Canis lupus familiaris: one gene and its partners. The protein of the gene in region 1 interacts with the protein of each later gene in a pairwise test. Links are inferred from orthologs where the notes say so. Each region holds a gene or a part of one and is shown in the gene's direction. Other genes may lie near its edges. The genes, in order: MEOX2, FKBP6, PAK1IP1, CHRD, CNTNAP2, CSF2 and TCEA2.

Evidence for each region.
Region 2: the proteins of MEOX2 (region 1) and FKBP6 interact in binary tests that used the Homo sapiens proteins (3 or more experiments, as listed by UniProt). The two-hybrid records come from large-scale screens. The link is inferred for Canis lupus familiaris from reciprocal best matches to the Homo sapiens genes MEOX2 and FKBP6.
Region 3: the proteins of MEOX2 (region 1) and PAK1IP1 interact in a two-hybrid assay, tested with the Homo sapiens proteins (2 studies listed by BioGRID). The two-hybrid records come from large-scale screens. The link is inferred for Canis lupus familiaris from reciprocal best matches to the Homo sapiens genes MEOX2 and PAK1IP1.
Region 4: the proteins of MEOX2 (region 1) and CHRD interact in binary tests that used the Homo sapiens proteins (3 or more experiments, as listed by UniProt). The two-hybrid records come from large-scale screens. The link is inferred for Canis lupus familiaris from reciprocal best matches to the Homo sapiens genes MEOX2 and CHRD.
Region 5: the proteins of MEOX2 (region 1) and CNTNAP2 interact in binary tests that used the Homo sapiens proteins (3 or more experiments, as listed by UniProt). The link is inferred for Canis lupus familiaris from reciprocal best matches to the Homo sapiens genes MEOX2 and CNTNAP2.
Region 6: the proteins of MEOX2 (region 1) and CSF2 interact in binary tests that used the Homo sapiens proteins (3 or more experiments, as listed by UniProt). The two-hybrid records come from large-scale screens. The link is inferred for Canis lupus familiaris from reciprocal best matches to the Homo sapiens genes MEOX2 and CSF2.
Region 7: the proteins of MEOX2 (region 1) and TCEA2 interact in binary tests that used the Homo sapiens proteins (3 or more experiments, as listed by UniProt). The two-hybrid records come from large-scale screens. The link is inferred for Canis lupus familiaris from reciprocal best matches to the Homo sapiens genes MEOX2 and TCEA2.

The regions. Positions count from the first base shown.
Region 1 is NC_049235.1:30,321,203-30,324,702, reverse strand, and holds part of MEOX2 (homeobox protein MOX-2), read left to right. Parts: intron 1-502; coding exon 503-675; intron 676-3,500. UniProt on the Homo sapiens protein: Mesodermal transcription factor that plays a key role in somitogenesis and somitogenesis and limb muscle differentiation. Required during limb development for normal appendicular muscle formation and for the normal regulation of myogenic genes.
Region 2 is NC_049227.1:6,771,471-6,774,970, reverse strand, and holds part of FKBP6 (inactive peptidyl-prolyl cis-trans isomerase FKBP6), read left to right. Parts: intron 1-2,579; coding exon 2,580-2,774; intron 2,775-2,898; coding exon 2,899-3,008; intron 3,009-3,500. UniProt on the Homo sapiens protein: Has an essential role in spermatogenesis. It is required to repress transposable elements and prevent their mobilization, which is essential for the germline integrity.
Region 3 is NC_049256.1:11,740,265-11,743,764, forward strand, and holds part of PAK1IP1 (p21-activated protein kinase-interacting protein 1), read left to right. Parts: intron 1-1,467; coding exon 1,468-1,588; intron 1,589-1,664; coding exon 1,665-1,739; intron 1,740-2,215; coding exon 2,216-2,268; intron 2,269-2,817; coding exon 2,818-2,963; intron 2,964-3,057; coding exon 3,058-3,155; intron 3,156-3,500. UniProt on the Homo sapiens protein: Negatively regulates the PAK1 kinase. PAK1 is a member of the PAK kinase family, which has been shown to play a positive role in the regulation of signaling pathways involving MAPK8 and RELA.
Region 4 is NC_049255.1:17,423,760-17,427,959, forward strand, and holds the start of CHRD (chordin), read left to right. Parts: upstream 1-1,400; coding exon 1,401-1,548; intron 1,549-1,778; coding exon 1,779-1,882; intron 1,883-2,377; coding exon of another isoform or gene 2,378-2,380; coding exon 2,381-2,510; intron 2,511-2,658; coding exon 2,659-2,787; intron 2,788-2,881; coding exon 2,882-2,981; intron 2,982-3,104; coding exon 3,105-3,192; intron 3,193-3,198; exon of another isoform or gene 3,199-3,380; intron 3,381-3,554; coding exon 3,555-3,696; intron 3,697-3,812; coding exon 3,813-3,953; intron 3,954-4,031; coding exon 4,032-4,114; intron 4,115-4,190; coding exon 4,191-4,200. UniProt on the Homo sapiens protein: Dorsalizing factor. Key developmental protein that dorsalizes early vertebrate embryonic tissues by binding to ventralizing TGF-beta family bone morphogenetic proteins (BMPs) and sequestering them in latent complexes.
Region 5 is NC_049237.1:3,928,193-3,932,422, reverse strand, and holds the start of CNTNAP2 (contactin-associated protein-like 2), read left to right. Parts: upstream 1-1,430; 5' UTR 1,431-1,443; coding exon 1,444-1,540; intron 1,541-4,230. UniProt on the Homo sapiens protein: Required for gap junction formation. Required, with CNTNAP1, for radial and longitudinal organization of myelinated axons.
Region 6 is NC_049232.1:20,337,846-20,341,818, forward strand, and holds CSF2 (granulocyte-macrophage colony-stimulating factor precursor), read left to right. Parts: upstream 1-1,178; 5' UTR 1,179-1,184; coding exon 1,185-1,343; intron 1,344-1,425; coding exon 1,426-1,467; intron 1,468-2,157; coding exon 2,158-2,283; intron 2,284-3,008; coding exon 3,009-3,116; 3' UTR 3,117-3,473; downstream 3,474-3,973. UniProt on the Homo sapiens protein: Cytokine that stimulates the growth and differentiation of hematopoietic precursor cells from various lineages, including granulocytes, macrophages, eosinophils and erythrocytes.
Region 7 is NC_049245.1:48,355,514-48,357,699, forward strand, and holds part of TCEA2 (transcription elongation factor A protein 2), read left to right. Parts: coding exon 1-44; intron 45-912; coding exon 913-1,003; intron 1,004-1,779; coding exon 1,780-1,910; intron 1,911-2,125; coding exon 2,126-2,182; intron 2,183-2,186. UniProt on the Homo sapiens protein: Necessary for efficient RNA polymerase II transcription elongation past template-encoded arresting sites.

The DNA.
Region 1 (3,500 bases):
ACACACACTTTTATGTATGCTTTGTCTGACCTTGAACTGACTTTTATGGTCCAGTTGCTAAACATTCAAATTGCTTAAATATTCACATATTAAGTCAACACTTTTTTTCTTAGGAATTAAAGAGTTCAATCATACCTAGATCCCAAGTATACATATTAAACAACTTATTAAACGCAATTTTACATCCGAAATTGTTTTCTAGAGGTGGTTTATTTATTTATCTTTTTATCATATTAAGAGCAAATACATTTTTTGTTCATATTTTGAAAGAATATTAGACACTTTGCCAATTAGGCTGAGTCACAGGAGAGCAGATCGAAAAAGTAAGAAATGTATCTTATCCTGTTGTGAGATCAGTCTTCTGTCTTTGCTCTCTGTTTCTCCATATCTAACATAGTACCTGAAAAAGTAGTTATTCAGTAAATGCTTCTGGTATGAATGATATGATTGTATGCATTTGAATGAATAAAGTCAATTTAATTCTCTCTTACATTCCCCCCAGATTCCCAGGAAGGAAATTACAAGTCAGAAGTCAATAGCAAACCCAGGAAGGAAAGGACAGCTTTTACCAAAGAGCAAATCAGAGAACTTGAAGCAGAATTTGCCCATCATAATTATCTGACCAGACTGAGGCGATATGAGATAGCAGTGAATCTGGATCTCACTGAAAGACAGGTAAAGTTGGACATTGTTGTGATATGGTATTTTTAATTGTGTTGAGTCAACAATCTTCTCTCGCCATTTTTGAAATATCTAGATCTGTGGTTCTTAAATGCCATTTGTAAGATAGGTGTTCTGTTCCATGATGAAGTTTTGGCACGGCAAAATGGCAAAATTAAGGATAAGATAGCAGTGTTTTTAAGGAAAACTACATTTATTCAGTTTAAGGTATCATTCTTTATTCTGTATTTGTGTCCTTCCTATATATTTTGGTTTAAAATAGTATTTCTTGTATATAATGATGGCATATAGTGAGCAATTCTTTTTTGCTTATATTTTAAAATCTCCTTATTTTGGTATAATAGAAAGCCAGCAACCCCATATTAGTTTCCTCTATTGCTCAGGACAGGGTTTGCTATGTTGCTGTAACACATTAACCCCCGGACCTCCATGACATAACAAAAAAGTTCACTATTTGCTCACTCTCCATACTAACTTTACAAGTTCAGCATTATAAACAATCAGTCACTCACGGACCCAGGCTGACTCTCTGGCATCTCAACATGTGGTGTCCTTGGTAACCACAGGAGGTAAGAAAGAGGTGGAGGTTCATGCACTGACCTTTAAATGTTTTCACCCGGAAATGACCCATGTCACTTCCATTTATACTCCAAGGTCCGGAAATCATCCGTGGTGCCACTTAAGTTCAAGGGGGGCTGGGAAATGATGGGAGCAAGGGCCCATAGGTCTTTCGTAAATATTTCCCAAATATTTTTGAACTGATATTGGTCTCAAAAATTTAAATTTCTGACATTGACTCATTTAGAGAACACTTTGCAATTATGAACGATCTGTGGACTCCAGTTGATAAAACCTAAAAGGTCCTTTCTTGGATTTTACTTGCTCCAGTAGTGCTCCCAGTGCATTCTTTTTATGGATTCTGATTTGCCCTGGGAGAATCTAGCTTACTGATGGTTAACAGTTGCTAATCTTTAGGAAAACATTCCTGAAAGGCAAATCCAAACATCTTTATGGACAGTGCAGTTATGATTGGCACTCCTAGGACTAGAGTCTCATTTCCTTTCACTGTATGCACCTCCTCCAGGGATCCCATCAGAACCAAAGAAATACCAACAGGGTGTGGACGTATGAATACTATCTTAGGAGAGCAAGTTATTTTATCCAGTTTCTTAAATCATCTGCTTTCCTTCTGTTAATTTCTGGATTTCAGCTTTTGTAGGGTATTTCTGGGGATTGGGAATATAGAGAGAGACACTTTTATGTGGTTTTATTTATTGGCAGTTTATATTTTATTAAATATTATGACTAGTGCCTAAGTTGTGAAGCACAACATTTTCTTTCCCTTGAACTTCACAGACAAACTCCTCTCCATAAGTGTACAACATTTGGCATGCTGGAAAGGAGAATCCAAAATCTACATTATTGGACATCTGTTTTATTTTCATTTTTTTTAAACTGGGAGCAGATAAAAAAAGAAGGGAGGGAAAGAATTACATATTTTAATGTTCTTATCCATAGACAGTGAATTCTAGGAAATGCAACCATGTTTTCTATGGTACAAAAAGGAAACAAGCTAAGACTTGTTTCCAAGCTATAGAAATAATGGGATGCAGTACTATACTCTTAGCCAAGAGGGAATGTGAAGATTCTGTGCTTGCTATTCTGGGGATGGCTTTGGTTACCTGTGATTATCTGATTATAAAGCAGAAGTTTCCCTTATGGTTTAAAATAATTTCTTTTAGAAAAGCAATTCTATAAATTTGGTCTGGCAATTTTTTAGGTATTTTGGATATGTCTTCCTGAGTTGTCATTTATGGAAAAGGATGATATGTAATTTTAAGCAAAATACACACACATACAATTCTAATCTTTGTTTTTGTTTATCAAAGGTCCCTTTTCAATTTTGTTATCAGTTAGCCTTGACTATGTAACAAACATTCAAAAATCATAGTGGTTTCAACTAATAACCGACATTCAATTTGCTCACAGTTTTGTGGGTCGGGGATTTTGACTGGGCTCAGTTGGATGGTTAAGCTGCTTACCTTACCTAAATCTCCCATAGAGCTGTAGTCACGTGGCGGGTTTGGGTTTGAAGAGCTGGTTGGTTTAAATAGTCTCAGCTGGGACATTTGTCTCTGTTGTATGTGGTTTCATTTTCTTCTAATAGGCTCTCTGAGACTTTTCAAATGGGGATAGAAGCATTGTCAGGAATAGAAGAAAAACTCCAATGGACCAAGGCTTTCAAGGACTCTCGTTATCTCATATTTACTGATGACTCATTGTCTAAAGCAAGTCATATGACCAAGCACAGTGTCAATGTAGAAGGAGACCATTTAAGGAATGGATATATGGAAGGAAGGTGACATTTGCTGGAGGCCGTTACCGAAATGATCTAACTATAGTGTCATAGGGGAAAAAACAAACAAACAAATCTTGAGATATAATTGGATTTTGAAAGAATTGAAATTTTATATCGTGAAGATTTTTTTATCCTATAAATCTTTATTTCCAGTTTTTCAGATTAATATGAAAAGGAGATGCATACATGTGGAATCTAAATTCCTAGTCAAAGTTAAGTCTTCAGAGGGCCACTATGTGACAGTGAGAAAAATTGAATTATTATGATAAAAATTTGAATAGAACAACTAGATTTTCCATTGGAATTTGGATTCTTAGGCAAGTAACAATCTCCCTAAGTCACAAAATGGAAATTAAAGCTAACTTCTCTTGCTTCTACTCAGGTTTATGTGTTATAATGAATATGAAAGAATTTCTAGCATAAACTGAAAAACACAACTGTCAATCAGAGGAAGGAAAAC
Region 2 (3,500 bases), on another chromosome or scaffold:
AAGAAACCCTATACGTGTTGGCAGTTACACTCCATTCCCCCAGCATGCCCTGGTAGCCCCTATGTTACTTTGTGTCTATGGATTTGCCTATTCCTGGACATTTTATGTAAAATAGAATCATCAAATGTATCGTGCTTCATGCCTGGCTTCTTTCAGTTAGCAAAATATTCTCAAGGTTCATTCATGTTGTAATGTGTATTAATACTCCATTCTGTCTTAAAATTTTTTATCTTTTAATTTTGGTAAAAACATCACCTAAAATTTATCATTTTAATTATTTTCAGATATACAGGCCAGTGGCATTAAGTGCATTCAGTGTTGTACAGGCATCACCACTACCCTTTTTAGAACTTTATCCTCATCCCACACATTGTTTAGCCATTAAACAAAACTCCCCATTCTCCCCCTTCCTCCAGCCCCAGTAATCTTTTTTTTTTTTTTTTTAAGATTTTTTAAAATTCATGAGATGGTGGGAGTGGGGCGCAGAGACACAGGCAGAGGGAGAAGCAGGCTCCATGCAGGGAGCCTGATGTGGGACTCGATCCCAGGTCTCCAGGATCACACCCTGGGCTGAAGGCGGTGCTAAACCACTGAGCCACCTGGGCTGCTCAGCCCCGGTAATCTTTATTCTACTTCATGCCTCTAGGAATTTGTCTGTGTACCATGGGTATTCATATAAATGGAGTCCTACAGTATTTGTTTTTGTCATTGGCTTCTTTCACTTAGCATAACATTTTCAAGTTTCATCCATGTAGCATATACCAAATTTTTCATTTTAAGATTGAGCAGTATGTCATGTGGATCCTTCCATGTTTTGTTCATTCATCAGTTACTGGACATTTGGATTTTTTCCTCTTTTTGGCTATTATGATTAATGTTGCTTTTCACATTGGTGTACAAGTTCTTGTGTAGACCTAGGTTTTCATTTTCCTTGGGTTTGTACATAGGAGCACAAGTGCTAGGTCCTGTAGTAACTGTCATGTTTAATTTTTTGAAATACTGCCAAACCGTTTTCCATAGTTGCTGCAGCATTTCACATTGCCACCAATGGTAGGATGGTTCCAATTACTCCACAACCTCACCAACACTTATTTTCCATCTTTCAAATTCTAGCCATATCTCGTGGGTGTGAAGCGATATCTCATAAGTTTGATTTACATTTCCTGATAACTAATGTGTTGATTAGCTATTTGCGTGTCTTCGGAAAAATGTCAATTCATATCCTTTGCCCATTTTTAATTGGGTTTTCTGTATTTTTATTCTTATAAAAGTTCGTTTATATTGTCTGTATACTAGGTTTTTTTAAAATATGATTTACAAATATCTTCTCCCATTCTGTGAGTTGTGTTTTCATGTTTTTTTTCTTTTCAAGAATGTAGAATATCTTTTTATTAAAAAATACAGAATTATCTGTAGGTTTGGACAATGACAGTAGTAAACCATTATGTTATCAGCTTAAACCAGTAAATGATGGTTATAGTGACTTTTCTTCATTTTTTTTCATTTTCTTGATAACATCCTTCATTTTTTTAATAATAAATTTATTTTTTTATTTGTGTTCAGATAGCATCCTTCAAAACACAAAAGTTTTTACTTTTGAAGTCCGTTTAATCTCCTTTTGGAGATTTGTGCTTTTCATGTAATTTCTAAGAAGCCATTATCAAATCCAAAGTCATGAAGATTTAAACCTAATGTTTTAAGAGTGATACAGTTTAGCTCCTACATTTAGGTCTATGATCCATTTTGTTAACTTTTTATGTAGCTTGAAGTGGGAATCCAACCTCACTCTTTCACAGGTTGACATCCAGTTGTCCCAGCACCTTTCATTGAAAATACTACTCTTTCCTGTTGAATGGGGCTGGTCCCCTTCTTGAAAATCCATTGACTACAGAAGTATGGGTTTGTTTTGGATTTTCAATCTGCATTGTCAGTTCTGTTCTATTGACCTATGTGTTTCCTTATGCTGTTACCACACTGGCTTTGCTACTATAGGTTTGTAAATAAGCTTTAAAATTTGAAAGTGTGAGTCTTCCATTTTCTCTTCTTAAATATTTTGGCTATTTGGCATCCCTTGATTTTGCATGCAAGTTTTCAGGTCAGCTTGACCATTTCTGCAAAAAAGGCTATTGAAATTTTGGTAGTGGTTGCTTTGAATCTGTAGATCAGTTGGAGACTATTGCCTTCTTAACTATATTAAGTCTTTTGATCTATGAACATGGGATGTATTTCTTTTTTTGGGGGGGGGATGTATTTCCATTTATTTAGATCATCTTTAATTTCTTCAGTATTTTGTAGTTTTTAACATACAATTCTTGCAATTTAAATTTATTGTGGCTTCCTTTCATGCTATTGTAAATGGAATTGTAGTCTTCATTTTTGGATTGTTTACTGCTAGATTAGAGACATGCAACTAACTCTCATATATTGAAATTGTGTCCTGCAACTTGTTGAGCTCAGTTTTGGTTTTGGTTTTGTTTTTTGTTTTTTGTTTTTTACCTCTAGTATTTTTTTTCTGGATTCTTAGGGCTTTCAATAATATTATGTACTTCATCTTGAGTATTTGTCTTCCTTCTTCACAGGCCTTGTTGCTTCTTCACCGACGATCAGCTCCTCCTGAAGAGCAGCACCTGGTGGAAGCAGCTAAGCTTCTTGTTCTCCTTAACCTATCCTTTACATACCTGAGGCTGGAGAGACCCACCACGGCTCTGCGCTATGGAGAACAGGCTCTGCTCATTGACCAGAAGAATGCTAAGGCCCTCTTCCGGTGTGGACAGGTGTGTTGGAGGCCAGGGACTTGAGAACAAGCACCCAAGAAAAGAAAGCAGTGATGTTCAACTTGGGCACTAGAAAAATGCTCTTTCCTAACCAAGTATGTTTTTAAAACTCTGTCCTTTGCAGGCCTGTCTTTTCATGACTGAGTATGAGAAGGCCCGAGATTTTCTAGTGCGAGCCCAGAAGGAACAACCCTTCAATCATGATATCAATAATGAACTGAAGAAACTGGCTAGGTGAGACCTGTTTGCAGAAGTGCAAACCAAAAAAAGAGGCCAGTGACCATCTGGGAAAAGGATGGTTTGGAAATGTTGCCTAGCATGTGTTGGGAGGCAGCGCCCCCTAGAGCTGGCTTTATGAAGCGCTAAACCAACAGCTCCCAGTGAGAAGGTGGGGCAGACCTCCAGACTAAGTCGGGATCATTTCCCATCTCCCTGTTCCCCACTGCCTATCCCCAAAGTAAGCATCCTAAAATAGGTGGGCCCATGTAATTTGTAAAAAGGGTCTTGTTCTTAAGCTACTCCTCCCTACTTGTCACCAGTTGAAAACCACTGTTCTTGGGATGCCTGGGTGGCTCAGTGGTTGGATGCCTGCCTTTGGCTGAGGTTGTTATCACAGGATCCAGGATCGAGTCCCACATCAGGATCCCTGCGAGGAGCCTGCTTCTCCCTCTGCCTAGGTCTCTGCTTCTCTCTCTCTGTCTCTCATGAATAAATAAATAAATCTAA
Region 3 (3,500 bases), on another chromosome or scaffold:
ATGTTAACTTGACTTGCCAGTGGTCACAAAATAATAGAACTAGAACTCAAACCTAGGTCTAGAGCCCATGTTTTTAACCGTTGTGTGCAAGTAAATATGTATGATGAGAAGGTGAAAATGGAGGTTGGGGTGACTGGAGAAGTAGATGGGCCAGGTCCTGGGTGGCCCTTGAGAAGAGGAGGTTAGGGATTGAATGGGAGGGAGGGGCCCTGCAGGCTTGACAACGTGCTGGCACCCAGGATGTGAGAGAGATGCTGAGCAAGAGCAAGCAGAAGACTGATGAGAGTCTTCTCTGTTGAAGCTGGAGGCTATGAATCGAGTAACATCCGTTTGCATTAAGCTCAGACATTTTTGTAGGGAGCAGAAAAGTACTTGGTATGTGTAGTAGGAGGCTTGATTTACAAAGGAATTCAGGATTTTTGGTGAAAGAAGAGATTGTTGGGCTACAGAAGGTGGGGGGGGGGTGCTCTGAATGGTCTATAGATCTCTGAAACAATAAAGCAGGTAAACTGTGAGTGAAGGGGGCCTGGTAGGGTTGGTGAGAGATGAGGTTGTGGGCAGGGATGAGGTTCGTAAGAGTTCACGAGTTGTGATGTGCAAGCAGCTCTAGGTGGTAACTATGTCCCGGGGTGTACGCATCAGGGACTGAACCAGAGAGGGAGGCGAGGCCACTGGAGTTGAGGAGGTCAGGGGTTGGTAATGCTCAGGTCATGCCTGGGTTTTCCTCGGCGCTGGTGAAGTTGTCCAGGGTAGTGGTAGGATCAACTAGTAGGCCGAATAGGTGTGTTTTTTTCAATATTGAACTCCATGCTGTTTTTACTGTATTTCCCCAGGGACAAAGAATGGAGGCTTAACACGTGTTCCAGGAAAGGGGCAATGGAAAGGAAGAACTGAAAATCGTAGCCCCGGTTAGACGTGCCCTTAGCTTGGGGACACTCCGTCATGTTGGCTTCCTGCAATTAAAGCCAGATGAGACTGCCACGCATTGGTTCTAGCAGTGAATTTGGAGTAGTCAGTGTCTGTCTTAGGTCCTTAGCTACTTTGACAAGCGTTTCCCTTTCCAACAGAAGCAAGGCTTTGATCGAATTCAACATGCGTTCTTTTTCCATTCTGTCTCATCCAATCCCAGTTCACACAAGAAAGTCTTCTCTCCCCCTTGGGTGTGGAAGAAATAGTTAGACCTGGTCTGCCTGAAGCCACTGGCAAGGTGTTCCACAGTTGGAAAAGGACTGACTGAGAAGGAGCTAGGATGGGGATGAAGTACAGTTCCTATTTTTCTTCATTCCTTGTGGAGTTCTTGCCTGTTTGTTTTTGTAAAAGAAATTTCTTCACCTAAGACTTTAAGGTATATTTCAGTAATATTAAGACGTTAGATGTTTTACTTTTACCACAGTGTAGCCTTCAAACCAGAAATGGAGTTTGCATTCAAAATGAACATTAAGTCTGCCTGTCTTGGTTTTTCCACAGGCACAATAACTTGCCTGAAATTCTACGGCAACAGGCACTTAATCAGTGGGGCAGAAGATGGACTCATTTGTGTGTGGGATGCAAAGAAGTGGGAGTGCCTGAAGTCGATTAAAGCTCACAAGTGAGTCAGGCCCCTTCCCCACTGGCGGTCTCTAGGTGCCAGTGAAGTTGGGGTCTAACTGTTGGTTTCCTTTTAGAGGACACGTGACCTTCCTTTCTATTCATCCGTCTGGCAAGTTGGCCCTCTCTGTGGGTACAGATAAGACGTTAAGGTAAGTCGTTAATGCTGAGAGCATCTTTTCCGAGTTGTGGTCTTTGTTCTCTAAGGACAACAGGAAGCTACCATCAGTATATTTTAGTATAATAGATTCGTTTTCTGTCTTGTCTCATTGCCGTCAGCTACTGAAAGGTATTGAACCTTTTCACAACGGTAGAGAAAAAAATGACAGGCTGTGTTCACTCGTACATAGTATATCCCAATCGTAAGCTGTGAAGAGGACGGTGGTCCTAAAAACAAATGTTTTAGGAGGTAAAATCTTTTGAAAATAATGTTAAACATTTTAAATATATTAGAGAGTACGGGAATGGATGAGTTACTCTTGCTTGATAGTAAATATTTCCAGTGTTGCTGTAAGAAACATATTCTAATTAGCTTCCTGTGTAGTCAATTGTTGTTTGAGTAAGTCTTCATTATGCTTACCTTTACGCCTAGTGTAAGTGATCTGTAAGTGAGCTGCTTATTTTGCAGAACATGGAATCTTGTGGAAGGAAGATCAGCATTCATAAAAAATATAAAACAGAGTGAGTACTTTTATTTGGAATGTTTTTTATAACTTCATGGAATATGAGTGTATGTACATCCACATATACTTTTATTTCCCTACTTGATGGTGGTTACCTCCTGGGGCAATAATTTAGGTTACTTTCCTTTCCCATTTTATTTATTTATTTTTCTATCTGTCTTAGAGGTTTTTATTTATTTGAGAGAGAGAGTCTGTACACGCAGCAGGGAGAGGGAGAAGCAGACTGTCCTGAGCAGGGAGCCTGATGTGGGACTCGATCCCAGGACCTGAGCCGAAAGGACTGAGCCACCTAGGTGCTCTCCTTTCCTTTCCCATTTTAGATGGGAATTCTCGTCATGACTGTCACCTACCAGGTCTATGACTTAATGATTCTTTGAATCCAGTTCATTTTCTAAAACTTAACTTGTAAAATATGTACCGAAGTTTGTTGTGAAGGGATAGTGGATGTGAAAATGCACAGTGCAATCATTTACTTTTTTAATAATTACTCTGATCATTTCTTTTTCTTGTTTATGAACTAAAAAAGCTTAGTGTTTTTAACTTACAGATGCTCACATAGTTGAATGGTCCCCAAGAGGAGAGAGATACATAGTTGTCATCCTGAATAAAATAAATGTCTATCAGCTAGACACTGCGTCTGTTAGTGGCACCATCACAAATGAAAAGAGAATATCTTCTGTTACATTTCTTTCAGTAAGTGACCAGAAATCAGTGATGGGATTTTAGTGTATATGGTGATGGTTGGACTTGTTGATGACATTCTGGATATTCTTTTTCCCTCTTATAGGAGTCTGTCCTTGCAGTGGCTGGAGATGAAGAAGTTGTAAGGTTTTTTGACTGTGATTCACTAACGTGTGTCTGTGAATTTAAAGCTCATGAAAACAGGTATTTTCTTTGCCAGTCTCTATGTGCATCTATGTGTAGTTTTCATTAAGTGTTAATGTAGGCAGTAGTTTCATAAAACAGTGTCCATGTTTTCTCATGAACAACTGCAGAGATAGACATTTCTACATAAATATTTTTGGGGAGAGGATGGTGGAAATGTTGTCTTCTTGGCCTTAAGTTGTACAAAAGTGGGGATATTGGTATCAGGGCTAGTGATTTGCACAAGATATTTTTCCAGTAATATTATTAATCTTGGGGCTTGAAATCAACCATATTTGAAGAGGAACAAAAAAATTAAACAATGTTGAGCTTTGCCAGGACCTCTCTTTTACTTATTCCCACTTC
Region 4 (4,200 bases), on another chromosome or scaffold:
GTGTCCCTGTCTTAGGAAAGACAGCTGCTGAACCTCCCCCGCAAATACCTCCTGCTGGCCCCCCTCTTCCTTTGGCCCTGGCTCTAGTTCCTTTGCTTTCCCCTCAGTCCCAGTCTCCTCACAGTCTCTGTCCTCAGGGGCCTCCTGGCCTGACCTTGTTCCCATCACCCCCACCCCAGTTCTTCCCCTCCTCCCAAGGATGGGGCTGTCAGCTAAGGAGTATGGCCTAGATCCCGGAATTCTCCAGTTCAGCCAGACAAGATGCCTCCCAAGATTAGGAAGGAGGGTGCTGGGGTGGTTGGGAGGCTGGTGGGTGGTTGGGAGGCTGGTGGGCAAATGGGTGTGGGAGGGGACAGGGAGGCAGTCATGACCAGGCAACCAAGACAAAGGAGGCTGGGGGTGCGGTGGAGAGGCAGAGGGTCCTCAGGGGTGATGGGAAGAGGGTGAGAAAGGATGTCAGGCTGGGGACAATGATGGTTGGATGGGCCTGCGGACAGGTTACCGACAGGGAAAGAAATACTGGCGCAGACTGAAAGGGGACTCTTTCTGGCTAAGTCCCTGTCCTGTGGAAGAGTAGAGTGAGGAAAGATCTCAGCGAAGAGGTAGGGACACAGGCCAGGCAGTGAGTGTGGGTAGTATGGGGTTTGAGAGGTGCTGTGGGCCCACAGTAGGGGAGATCAGTTGACGGGCCTTTCCTGCACGTTGTCATCCTTAAAAGAGGAGTCTTCATCCTTCCGGCAGGAACCGAGCACTAGCCCAGTGGCCGGCCCAGGCCTCAGGCCCAGCCTCTGCCCCTCCCTGGCCTGGGGCTCCCGTCTTGGGCCGGACACGCACCTCCCGGTGCAGCCGCCCTGTGGCCGCCAGCAGCGGGGGGCTCCAGACCCGCCTCTCCTCCCCTCTTCGCGCCCCCTGGTCCCTCCCCTCCCCCTACCCCCTTGGCTCCCCCTTCCCCTCCAGCCCCTCCCTCCTCCCCTGCCCCGTCCCAGCCCCTCCCTCCCCTCCCCCACTCGCGATCCGGGCCGCTGCTGCTGGGCCGGACCCCCCGGGCTCAGCCCGGCCCCTCGCCGAGCCGCCGCCGCCGCCCCGTTTGCTGAGGAGGAGGCCCCCGGCCGGGGCGCCGGGCGCGGGGCATAAAACGGGCCAGAGCCGGCGCCCAGGGCACTAGAGCCGCGTACGGCCCGGGTCAGCGCCCGCCCGCCCGCGCTCCTCCCGGCCGCTCCTCCCGCCCCGCCCGGCCCGGCGCCGACTCCCGCCGCCCGACGAGCCCCTCGCCGCACTGCCCGGGCCCTGGCCCCGGCCCCCTCCCGCCGTACCGCCCCCGGCCCGGCCCTCCTCCCACCTCCCTCCTCCCTCGCCTGCGCCCTCCTCCCTCCCGCCTCCCCAGCTGTCCCGTTCGCGTCATGCCGAGCCTCCCGGCCCCGCCGGCCCCGCTGCTGCTCCTCGGGCTGCTGCTGCTCGGCTGCCGGCCGGCCCACGGCGCCGGCCCCGAGCCCCCGGCGCTGCCCATCCGGCCCGAGAAGGAGCCGCTGCCCATTCGCGGAGCGGCAGGTAGGTGGGCGCCCCGGGGGGCGCGCGGGCAGAGTCCCGCTCGGGGCAAGTCCGCGCCCGCCCGGAGGGGGCGCCGGGCGCAGGTGGCTCAGCGCGGCGGGCGGCCCGGGGGGGCGGGCGGGGGTCGGGAGGCGCGTGGTGCGGGGGCACCCAGGGCCCGGCCGGCGGTGCCCAGGGCGGGCACGCCGCGGGAGTGGGACAGCGGCCGCCAGCCAAGCCCGTCCCCGCAGGCTGCTCCTTCGGCGGGAAGGTCTATGCCTTGGACGAGACGTGGCACCCGGACCTGGGGGAGCCCTTCGGGGTGATGCGCTGCGTGCTGTGCGCCTGCGAGGCGGTGAGTGGATCCAACTGCCGGGGAGCTGGCCGGGGCCCTGGGGGGTGGGGAGCGCTCGGGTCCGGGATGTCGGAGTGGGCTGGCGCTGCTGAGGAGGAGGAAGCGAGCCTGCAGGTATATACACAAATGTATAATATATATTTTTCTTCTGGCGGAGAAAGTGGGGAGGAAGTGCCCCCTTCAAGTCTCAGGTGTTGACTGTTATTGATCACCCACTATGTGTCAGGCTCTTTGCCAGCGGTTTCCTTGGTCTCTCACTTAACTCCTAGAATAATCCTACTAATTACACACTATTACTGCCCCCATTTTCCAGATAGGGACCTTAAGGCCCAGAGAGGTTAAGTAGTTTGTCTAGGGTCACGCAGCTTGTAAGAAGCAGAGCGGTCCTCACTCCATGGGATGACCTCGCTCTGGTCCTGTGGCCCTCCCCCGCTCGCCCTGGGTCCCACCAACTGGCGTCTTGCACTCACTCGCTTTTCCCATCTTCCCTGCAAGCAGCCTCAGTGGGGTCGCCGCGCCAGGGGCCCGGGCAGGGTCAGCTGCAAGAACATCAAACCCGAGTGCCCAACCCTGGCCTGCGTGCAGCCGCGTCAGCTGCCGGGACACTGCTGCCAGACCTGCCCCCAGGGTAAGACCCGCTCGCAGTGAGGGGAGGACCGCAGGGCAGTGATACTTGGTCCTGCGCCACGCGGCTGGGGCGGACGGAGCAGATGGAACCGCCAGCTGGCTCTCCGAGTGCCCAGCCGAAGCCCGTGTTTCCCTTTTGCCCGGCTTAGAGCGCAGCGGTGCCGAGAGGCAGCCGACGGGCCTGGCCTTCGAGTATCCGCGGGACCCAGAGCACCGCAGCTACAGCGACCGCGGGGAGCCGGGCTCCGAGGATCGGGCGCGTGGAGATGGCTACACGGGTAGGCAGGGGCCAGGCAGCAGCTGGATTCGTGGTTGCGGCCCGGGCTGCCTGCTGTAGCGGGTGACGGTACTCGGGACATCTTTTCCTCGCAGACTTCGTGGCGCTGCTGACGGGGCCGAGGTCGCAGGCCGTGGCTCGGGCCCGAGTCTCTCTGCTGCGCTCTAGCTTGCGTTTCTCCATCTCCTACAGGCTGTGAGAAAGGGGAAGGTGGGAGGAGGGGTCAGCTGGGGACTGGGGAAGGAGAGTTGGGAAAGGCTGATGGAGCTGCTCCTGGACTAGGCTCAGAGCCCATGCTCACACGACCTTCATTCCCAGGCTGGACCGCCCTACTCGAATCCGCTTCTCAGACTCTGCTGGCAGCGTCCTGTTTGAACACCCTGCAGCCCCCACTCAAGATGGCCTGGTGAGATGATGCCATTTATGAGTGCTTATCCAGTCTGGGCATTGTACTGAGAGTGTGTTCTGCATTGCTTCCTTTGGTCCTCACAACAGCCCAGTGAGAGGAAGGCACTGACATTATGATGCCCGTTTTACAGATGAGGGAACTGAGGCTCAGTAGCAGAATGTGATTTGCTCAAGGTCACACAGCTAGTAAGTGGTTGAGCCAGGATTTGGACCCCAGCATCTGGTTCCAAGGCCCCTTCTTGAGCTTCCTAGGAGGGCTTGGGGGCCCCTTCCCATAGTCCTTCCTCACCACAGTTGGGCCTCCCTGCTGGCCCGTGTTGCATGCTGTCTAAGTAGGGCCTTCCTATCTCTCTGCTCCAGGTCTGTGGGGTGTGGCGGGCAGTGCCTCGGTTGTCTCTGCGGCTCCTTAGGGCTGAACAGCTGCACGTGGCACTTGTGACACCCACTCACCCTTCAGGGGAGGTCTGGGGGCCTCTCATCCGACACCGGGCCCTGGCTGCAGGTGAGGGGAGCATATGGGTCCCTGGGTGTGAAGTTCTGAGTCTTCTCTATTCCCAGGAATGGAGTGGGCTGAGGAGGGGACTTTCTGATGGGCTCTCCTGGTCCTCCCTCCCCCAGAGACCTTCAGTGCCATCCTGACCCTAGAAGGCCCCCCCCAGCCTGGCATGGGGGGCATTGCCCTACTCACTCTCAGTGACACAGAGGACTCTTTGCATTTTTTGTTGCTCTTCCGTGGACTGCTGGAATCCAGGAGTGGGGGTAAGTGGGATGGGGCAGGCGTGAGGAGAGTAAGGAGAGCACCTCTCTCTGAGGCATCCACATGCGTGGCCATTGCAGGACCAACCCAGGTTCCCTTGCGGCTCCAGTTTCTACACCAGGGGCAGCTACTGCGAGAGCTGCAGGCCAATGCCTCAGTCCAGGTGAGTGAGGGGCTGGCTCTTGCTGCCCCCTGCTCTGGCCTCTTGCTGCACCCACCATACCTTGCTCTGTCTCCAGGAGCCAGGCT
Region 5 (4,230 bases), on another chromosome or scaffold:
TTGCTGGCGGCAGCGTGTGTTTGGTGTGCGTGTGCATATACGCATGAGTGTGAATTAATTGCACATTGAAAACATCTGCATTAGCGGCGTCCGCAGTCCCCGCCGCTCGGGTCGGGATGCTCAGCTCGGTCCCTTGGTGTTAGGACCACTCGGAAGACCTGCTGTCGGGCGCCCGGTGCTGGTTCCCGGGGGGCAGGCCGAGCTCCGGGAGCCTGTACCATCTCCCTCTGCAGGGGAGGGGAGGAGGGAAAGAGCAGGCCTCCGAGCCCAGGGGTTCGGTTTCCCCGCAGCTGGGTGGGGGTGGGGGTGAGGAGAGGGCGGCCGGGGTTGGAGCCGGGCTCCAAGATCACCCCGCAAATTCCCAACTTCAGCACCGCCCCCCGCCCGGGGCAAGGCGCGCGCCCCCTGGCTCGGCGCCCCCCCCCCCCCCGCCCCGGCGCACGGACGCGGGCCCGTGGGTGCCTTCTGGCTCCCGCTCGCGAGCGCAGGGCAGAGGGGTGGTGACAGCCGGAGGGGTACGGCGAGGAGGAGGAGGAGGGGGAGGAGGAGGAGGAGCCGGGGTGGGGACTTGGAGGGGGCGAGGAGGGAGGGCTTCCCCGCCTCGCCCGCCGCCCGGCTGTGCAGGCGCTGCTGGCGGCGGCGTCTCCAGCTCGGTCTGCAGCTCTGTCTGCAGCTCGGTGTGCAGCTCGGTGTGCAGCTCGGTCTCCAGCTCCGTCTGCAGCTCGGTGTGCAATTCGGTGTGCAGCTCGGTGTGCAGCTCGGTGTGCAGCTCGCTCTCCAGCTCCGTCTGCAGATCCGTCTGCAGCTCGGTGTGCAGCTCCGTCTCCGGCCGCTGCTGCGCTGCCCGGGCGCCGGGGCGATGCCGCCGCGCTGAGGCCGAGCGTGCGCCCTCCGTCCCTCCTCCCTGCGCCTCCCCCCTCCCGCCCGCGGGGCTGCGTGCCCCCCGCGCACCGGCTCCCGAGCGCCGAGTGCCGAGCGCGAGCCCGGGGCGCCGGGAAGCCCCTCAGACCCGCCCGCCCGCCCTGCGCCGCTGCATCATCCCCAGCTCCTCTGCTCTGCCTCCGCGTCCTATGCTGATTTTTTATTTTTTATTTTTTTCTCTCCTGCAAGAGAGAGAGGGAGGGAGGGCGGGGTAGGTCCCCTCCTCCGCTCCCCCTCCCTTCCCTTCGCGGTTTGAATTTCTTCCCCCTGGCATTTCACTGGCTCCCGGAGCGAGAGGCAGCAGCCGCGCGGAGGCAAGAGGCAGCCTGCGCCTCCCCGGGCTCCCGGCCCGGGCCGAGCTGGAGCCTGCAGGGGCGCGGGGGGAAGAGGACGCCGCGGGAGGGGCCCTGCCGTCGCCCGCCCCGCCCCGGAGCAGCGCCCGGAGCAGCCCCCGGGGGCACGGCCGGCGCCTCCGCAGCGAGCCCAGCGAGCTCCCCGAGTGCCGCGCGCCGGCCGCCGAGGATGCCGGCGGGCCCGCGAGCCGGCTGCGGGGCGGCGCTGCCGCTCTGGATCGTCGGCAGCATCCTCTGCAGAGCCTGGACCGCCCCGGCCGCGTCCCGTAAGTAGCCTCCGCGAGCGCCCAGCCCGCCCGGGGCCGCGTCGGGGTCCTCCCGGGCCCGCCACCTGCGTGCGCCGGCGTCTCGCAGCCGCTGCCGCAGGGAGCTCCGAAGCCCGGGGCGCCCCGGGGCGCTGGGGGGCTTGCAGGGCGGGGATGGATGGATGGGGGGGGGGGGCGGTGGCGCGAGGGCTCTGGAGGCTGCTGATGCTTCTGGAAAGTTGTCCCCGGCCGTGCAAGGGGGGGTTGGCAACTGCTTGGTTGGAGTGACGAGGCCGGGCGACAGCTTCTTAGGAGTTACTCCTCCACTTCGGGGTGTTTGTTGTTGGAGGGAGTTCGGGGCTTTGGGCTCGGGTAGGTCGCTGCAAGAAAGTGAAGGCTGGGGCAAAAAAAAAAAAAAAAAAAAAGTTTCTTGTTTTTGCATATGGTTTTGACTTCAAGACGCACGGGTTGCGGGGGTGGGGGTGCAAGAGGAGACCATTTGGAGCAGTTGGGGCACCGCGGACTTCCCTTACCCGCCCACCCCCAAAAAGTTAATGACCACTTAGTACTTGCTTCTTGGAAGGGGAAGACAGTGAATGCAGCGTGCTGGCTGAAATTGCTTTGATTTTTGGCACTTTGGGGGTGACACAGCCTAGGACTCGGGGCAGGCAGGGCAAACAGGCCGTGGGGAATGGATGTAGTCATGAAGGCATCCCTAAAGAGTTCTCGGGGAAAGGATGCTGTTCAATATATTCAAGTCTTTGTGTTCCAGCAGGCTCCCCCCCCCCCCTTTTCTTTTTAAAGAAAAGGTTGCTCATGTTTTCATGCGGTTAGCAAGAGTAGAAAGGAATAGAAGATTCCAGCCCATCTTCTGAGTTGCTTCAGAAGTGCATCCTGTGCATCTAGAGAGGAGACGCATGATCGCTCCTTTGATTCAGAAAGAGTTAAACCCTAGAGAGCTTGCCCGTGGGAATCTCAGGCACATAGTGCTGGTCTGTGAGAATGAGCTACTTATTAAAGAATAACGATGGAGATTTTAGTTTGAAGTGTTTTCCATTTAGAAAAAAAAAAAAGTTTAGTGTTTTCCAGAATTCATTGTATGTGTGGTCCTATCTCCGCTGATGAGGTCTTGGGATGCATTGATGCATCTTTATCTATACATTAATATTAATGTTCTTGTTCCGGGGTATACATATTAATAAGAATAACCGTTGAAAAAGGACTTGATAAGTTGTGCTAAAGAATCTACCCCACAATAATGTCATGTGATGAACCGCTATTGCAGTTTTGACATGTTTTCCCAAGTATTGTATTTGCTTCTCTTTTCTTGCAGTATAGGAAGTCACTAAGTGGCAGTGTGTAATGGACTTGAAAAACATTTTTGTAGCTTTTTCACAAACGGACTGAACCTCAAATAAGTGATACATTATTAACATATGTATTCCGGTTTTATATATTTAAACAAATTTTGAAGACAGTGCTCAGTATTAATATTATGTAAATATGTGACTACATCCGGAGAAAAGTAATCTGATGAAATTTCGATTTCCATTTCAAGATCTGGTCATATAGAACTAACTGCCGCTTTTTTTCAGAAATTAAATCGATTATAAATTAATTATATTCACTGATTAATGGCTCTCATATCCAGGATTTTTCCTGAGTTTTATATTGCATCTTTATGTATACATTAATGTGATGGATCCCTCTGAAACATTTGCCATGTATCAAGAATGAATGGCACACATGCAGCCACGGGGTTAATGTTTTTTAAGAATAGAAAAGTTGTTGCCGAGATATATTCCTAGCTTTTACAACTTAGTTAGAATTAGATGTTGGGGAAGAGCAGAGAGTATTACTTTTAAGGTAGTTGACACTTATGTCTGATTAAGATGTATTTATTAGCTCTTGCTCTTATTCTTTATTGTTTAAATATGTAAAATGGCTTAATTGAGATGACTTTTTGTTTCCTTTGAATTTAAATTGTCTGACTAAAACCCAAAGTTGCCCCGCATCCTGGAAATCAATTAAATGATAAGAATGATGTGGACTTTGTTGACTAGAGTGAGCTTCACAAATTCAGTACTTTAAATTATAATTTGACACTTAATGACAATTTGTATTTATATTTATACAACTCTGAGAAAGAGGGAGAGTTATATTCTTAATACTGAAAACGCTCAAAGGAGAAAAAAATCGGTAACTACATGAATCTAAGATAATGAACAACTCAACCAGGAGAGGTCATCACAAGACAAAAAGTAGCATGAAAATCCAAACGTAATGTTTTTATTTGCTACTCATTTTTAAAAATATGACAGTGCTAAAACTTTCTGTCCCTTGATAACTTTTTAACATGATGGACGTTTCTAGAAAATGCAGTTAATATTTTTCATTTGGCAACAGTACCATTTTAAATATATATTTGCTTCTGGCTTATTTCTTTTTCTCTATTATTGAAATACATATAAAAATGGTGTTACTGCTAATACTATGTTTTCTATAGCTGGACTAAAATAAATTTAAAAAGCTCATTTCTAGGATTAAGGAGAAATAGAATCTAATTGCTTGACAGTGCAGATGAGCTGCTGCTGAGCTGATGGAATCATACCACCTCTCTTCTTGCAAATGTGCAGATACAGGACGCATATGTAAAGAGTATATTTTTCTCTTAGGGAGTTGCACTTATTTGAACATACTGGAAAGACGCT
Region 6 (3,973 bases), on another chromosome or scaffold:
AGCCTGTGGCTTTTTTAGAAGCAGTTCCTGTTCCACAGAAGAGGCCTCTGACCTGGAGATGTGCTGGGGCAGGGGCCATGTAAAAATTAAGCTTGGAAGACCTTGTTCGAGAAGCCGTTGTTCCCCGAAGCTCCTCGTACCTGTGAGATGTGCCCACCAGGTTGGGGGGGGGGGATGCCCCACCCTGCTACCTTTTTCCCGAATGGTGGGGGGATAGCCAGGGGCTACACATAGGAGCACGGTACCTAGCTCACAAGAGTGGTCTGGACTACAGAGAGTGGTGAGATTCACAGAGCTCAGGGGGAAGAGTCACTTAGCAAGGTGATACTAGAGCCAGAACTTGAGCTGAGGGCCCTCACTACTCCCACTGAGAGCCCCAACTCACCCCTGCAGCTTGGGGGTTGAACACAGCTGTGAAAACTCTGACTATTGCTGTCAGATGGGACCTTACCATGAGGAACACTCTACAATCCTGCTGGCTGGATGTGATATGTACACACTTGTCATTCTCCCTGCACACAGGGGCTATGCAGCAGAGGTCCCTGATGGGAAGAGCTTGCCACTACTCTGGATCTTTGCTGGGAGCTGTCGCAGGACTATGCCATTTGGCTGGATTCTGCCTAGGTGGACAGTGTACAGGCCTGTGAATGTCTTCTTCCTACTCAGATCTCTCGCTGTGGCCAGAGGAGAGGGATCTAGGAGGAGAAGGGGAGGCTGGTGTTGGAATGGGCCCCAGGGTGGGCACAGCCAGCCCAAAGATTTCTTGCGATTAGAGGCAGGGTGGAGAGCGTGGGTGTAGGAGCTCGATCTAGTATCTCCCAGGCCCCTCCCTGGCCACTCCAGGCCAGGAAGTCCACGCTGTGCCCAGAGGCCCCTCAGAGGGAGGGGGCAGCCTCACTGGCCAAACTACCCAGGGAGGGCTGGAGAGTGCTCAACAAGGCAGGCGGATGCACTGCCAATTCTTGGAAGGGCTCATTAATGAAAACCCCTGAGCCTGACCACCTGGAGGAAAGGCTCACCGTTCCCATGTGTGATAAGGGCCAGGAGATTCCACAGGTCAGGTAGTTCCCCCGCCTCTCTGGCGTTTTGTGGTCACCATTAATCATTTCCTCTAACTGTGTATATAAGAGCTCTTTTGCCAGTGAGCCCAGTACTCAGAGAGAAAGGCTAAAGTCCTCAGGAGGATGTGGCTGCAGAACCTGCTTTTCTTGGGCACTGTGGTCTGCAGCATCTCTGCACCCACCCGCTCACCCACCCTTGTCACTCGGCCCTCTCAGCACGTGGATGCCATCCAGGAAGCCCTGAGCCTTTTGAACAACAGTAATGACGTGACTGCTGTGATGGTGAGTGAGGGAGGGACTGCAGTCTGTGCCTGGATTGGCCCTGCCTGTCAGCTTAATAAAACGGTATTTTGTTTTTCTACAGAATAAAGCAGTAAAAGTGGTCTCTGAAGTGTTTGACCCTGAGGTAAGATGCTTCTCTCTGACATGCCTTCCCAGAGACCTCTACCGTGGGGGGGTGAGGGGGGGGGTGGCTCCATTTCACATGGACTCTCATAGGGTGGTCAGTCCACTTTCTCCAGTCAGCTGGCTGTCCAGAGGGGCCTCGGGAGGCCACTGGCCTTGCGCCTGTAGCAGTCATGTGAACTCCTTCATTAACTGAGCAGCCATGGACAGACCTAGCATTCAAGGGGCCAGGGGTCACCAGGGGACAGGTAGGTGAAGTGGGAATTACTTCAAGACACAGGGCTGTGAGCTTGGGGGACTCATGAGACTAATCTCGGTGGAGACAGAGTGTTGGTTACAGAGAGGCACAGAGATTTCAAGAACAAGCCTTGTTCACATAGCAGGTTGGAGGAGATGCCCCACCCTTGCTACCTTCTCCCTGAATGGTGAGGGTATAGGGATCTCCTCTCGTGGGGGCTGGGACCCTCTTGAGATGCCAGGGAATGTAGTTGTGCTAGCTGAGGGTGGCCTGAGCTGAATGGTGCAGATTCATTTTTGCGTGTATGACTGGACCTAGCATCATCCTGTGCCCCTCCCAAGTTCTGCTCTTGGGGGACAGGGCTGAGGACAGGAAAAAGTGACAGGAAGAGTGTCATATGCCCACCAGAGGGCACCTGTCCACTACTCACCAAGGAATGGACATTCTCCACAGGGGCCAACATGCCTGGAGACCCGCCTACAGCTGTACAAGGAGGGCCTGCAGGGCAGCCTCACCAGCCTCAAGAATCCCTTAACCATGATGGCCAATCACTATAAGCAGCACTGTCCCCCTACCCCGGTGAGTGCCCATGTCAGGTCCTAAAGCTGAAAAATTTTGGTCTAGGAGGGTGGAGGACTGGATAAGGAGGGACCTTTGGCTGTAGCCGTTAAAGACCCCAAAGGGTTTTGGTGTCAGCAAATTTGTAATGATTAGCAGAGCAAGCTTCCCTGCCCATTTTCATCCCTGGGAGTTAAAGCCATGGAGCTCCAGATGCCTATACAGTCCCTAGTGGGAGACACTTCTGTCCTATCATTAATGAGGTCAAAGGTGAGGCAAACCCAAGGAAACTAAGGTCCAGGGTATATTCCTGGGCCCAAGTGCCACCTCTCTGGCTCCTTGTGAGGTGCCTAATTGCATGGGGCAAGGAAGGAGTCATACCCAGACTGAACAAAGGCCCCAAACACTCCTTTCCTGTGGAGAGTGAGGTTTGTGGCCTTAACTCCTCCCCTTTCTAGACAGCTGGCCTAAGAGCAAAAGAGGTGTTGACCCAACTGCCCAGCCCAGCAGGCCAGCCTCGGGTTGGCATTTTGTCAGTCCCCAGGGCCTGGCTGCTATTAACAGAGTTGTGTACCCTTTGGGTGACACTGGGTGGCAACCTATCATCTGACCTAGGTCAGCAGGCAGGCTCCAAATAGGCCTTCTGGCCTCTGAGTTCTAAGGGGCAGTGCAGAAACCCTGGTGCTCCCCCATTACCCACTCACACCTGGACTCAAAGTTTTATTGTTCTTATTTATTTTTTTAAGGAATCTCCCTGTGCAACCCAGAATATTAACTTCAAAAGTTTCAAAGAGAACCTGAAGGATTTTCTGTTTAACATCCCCTTTGACTGCTGGAAACCAGTCAAGAAGTGAGGCAGACCAGTCCAGCCAGGAGCCAGCCCAGTCCAGCCAGAAGCCAGCCCTGAGAGCATACCTCATACCTCACAAGTCACTGCCTTTCTACCCATGGATTGCTGAAACTCAGGATCTTCACCTTTGAGGGACCACCGGGTGGACCAGGGCAGTAGAGGGGGCATGGACTTGCTCTGGGCCATGCTGCCCGGATACCAGCTTGGTATGGGGAGCGGGGAATGTTTTATACTGGCAGGGATCAGTAATATTTATTTATATATTTATGTATTTTAATATTTATTTATTTATTTATTTAAGATCATACTCTGTATTTATTCAAGACATTTTACTATTATAATAAATTATTAAAAGCCTGTTCTTATTTGTACACTTTCCAGTTTGTTTTCAACCCTGAGCAAATGCTGATGGTACTCCCCACAGAGCAATGGGTGGAGAGGAGCCATAAGGTTGGGGAGGGGGCAGGGTGCTCTAGCAGGTTGGCCACTGTCTGAGAGGCACCAATGGCAGAGCAGAGCAGATGAATGGGAAGAGTTGGCCTGGGTGCTGCATCACACACACCTAGATCTGCTTCCCTGGATACTCAGGGCTCCAACTGCAAAAAGAGGCTTTCAGGTTCACTTGGAAGTCTAAGGCACCTGGTCAGTGGGAACTTTGCTCCAGTAAAAGGCCATCATACTTCCTGAGAAGGCTTGGGGGTTCCTGGGGCTTGGCTGGCCACTGGCTGAATGGGCCTGCCCTAGTGTGAGGCAAAACACCTGTGCCCTTCAGAAACCTGGGCCTGTGGGCAGCCCTGGTGGTGCAGTGGTTTAGCGCCGCCTACAGCCTGGGGTGTGATCCTGGAGACCCAGGATTGAGTC
Region 7 (2,186 bases), on another chromosome or scaffold:
CGCCCTGGCCAAGTCGCTCATCAAGTCCTGGAAGAAGCTCCTGGGTGCGGGCCGGCGGCGGGGCTGACCGCCCGGGCAGGGCATCCGGGGAGTGCTGGCCCTCGCCGGTCAGCGGCGTGCTGGTGCTGGCGGTGCCGTCCCCGCGCCCGGGCCGCCGGGCCCCAAGCTGGTCCGGGAAGGCGGGGGGTGGCTGGGAGCAGAGGGGACCCACCGGGAGCAGGAGAAAAGGAAGTTGAAGGTAGTAGCAGGGCGGCTGGGGCCTGGAGGGAGCTGGCGCAGGTGAGGAGGCCCTGCTGAGGCCGAGGGGTGCGGGGGAAGAAGGGGACACGGCCGGCTGCGGGCAGGCCCACCTTGGGGCCCTGGGGGTCCCCTCCCTTCCTGCGCCTTCCTGGCTCCGTCCAAGCCCATGGGGTGTTTGTCGTGGGACTCTAGTCGGGGTGGCTGTCAGCCCACGTGTGCACAAGCGTGTTTATTCTGGTCGTGTGGGGGCTGCTTCGCCTCCTGTGGGACGGTCCCCAGCGCGGACCAGGGTTTCAGGAGCCTCGTGGGGGATGTGCTCAGCGGACGGCCGCTCGCTGTGACCCCCAAGGCCCAGCTGGGGAGTGACCGCACCTGGGCTTTGTCCGGGTTTCAAGCGCTGCCTGTGGGGGGGCTGTCACTCGGGGCTCTGCACCAGGGTCACTTTGGGCAGGTGGCCGTCCTTTCTGCCAGGACGGTAGACCCCAGGGAGGCCTCACAGGTGGCCTGTGCGGGGGTAGAAAAGGGCCTGGGGGCTGTCCTGGGCCCTTCTGAGGAGGGAGGATGGGGCCCCAGTGTGCAAGGCTCGACCGCCAGGTCCCGGGGCCGGTGGAGATCTGTTCCCCTCCCTGGCCCAGCCCCACTAGCCAGCGCTCCCTTTCCTGGCACCTGCAGATGCTTCAGATGCCAAAGCCAGGGAGCAGAGGAGGGCCGGGCCTCCGCCCACATCGTCCTCCAAGGAGGCCCCTGAGGCCAAGGATCCCAGGTAGCGCATCTGGGGGGCAGGTGCACACCCTCCTGCTCGGCAGGTGGCGGGTCCTGGCCGCACAGAGAGCCCCGGGGGCCCCCACGGCCACCCCACAGTTCCACCTCCTGGGCGTGGTTCTCATTCCGCTCTGGCCGAGCCCCCTCAGCTGGTGTCCCGCGTGGCTGAACCCTCTCCCCGTCAGTGCTCCGGGCAGGCAGTCATGGAGACGGGGTGCTCTGGGGGTGCTCCGGGGGTGCTCCGGGGTGGGTGTGGCCGTAGGCTGCTTTGCCGTGGGCAGGGGTGGCAGGGCAGCAGGGGCCAAGCTCCGCGCGCAGCGTGTGCTTGTGCTGGGCTAGGGCTTCATCTACCGGCTGCGGAGGTTCCCTCCAGGAGGCCCCTGCTCCCCGTCGTGTGGGGGTCACAGGGTCACGAGACGCAGGGGTGTGCGGGGAGGGGAGGACTGGGTACCTGCGGCCTGGTCAGCAGGCGGCTTGCCAGCAGTGCCCAGCCCGTCGGGAGGCATCCACGCCGGGTGGGGCCGCCTGCCTCCCCTGAGATGGCCTGGTCCTGGCCGCCTGGAGGGCGGAGGCCCCTGCGGGCGAGGCTGCCCCAGTGGTGCCCCCATCCGGGGGTACGCCCCGCCCAGTGGGTGTTCCTGCCTCCAGCCCACTGGGCAGTCCCCTCGGGGCAGGAGCATGGGCAGCATCCGGGTGGGAGATGCAGGGTTTGGGGCTTTCTGGGGACCGGTGTGTCACGGGGGTGCCCGTGGCCCGCGCGGGCCCGTCTTTCTCCAGCCGCAAGAGGCCAGAGCTGCCCAGGGTGCCGTCGGCCCCAAGGATCACCACGTTTCCCCCCGTGCCCGTCACCTGTGACGCCGTGCGCAACAAGTGCCGCGAGATGCTGACCGCCGCCCTGCAGACAGACCGTGAGTCCCCCGCCCGCCGCCCTGCACCCTGAGTCCGCAGGGGCTGGACTCCGCCTGCCCACAGCGGCCTGAGCTCAGAGGGTTCTCGGGGACCTCCTCCCCCAGCCCTTGCAGCTGAGCCAGGTGGGGGCAGGGGTCTTTGGGGCCTCAGGTGCTGGGCAGTTTGGAAGTGGTGGTGGAGTCAGGGGGCAGCTAGTCAGGGCTGCTTCTTGCAGATGATCATATGGCCGTTGGTGCGGACTGCGAGGGCCTGTCGGCCCAGATTGAGGAATATAT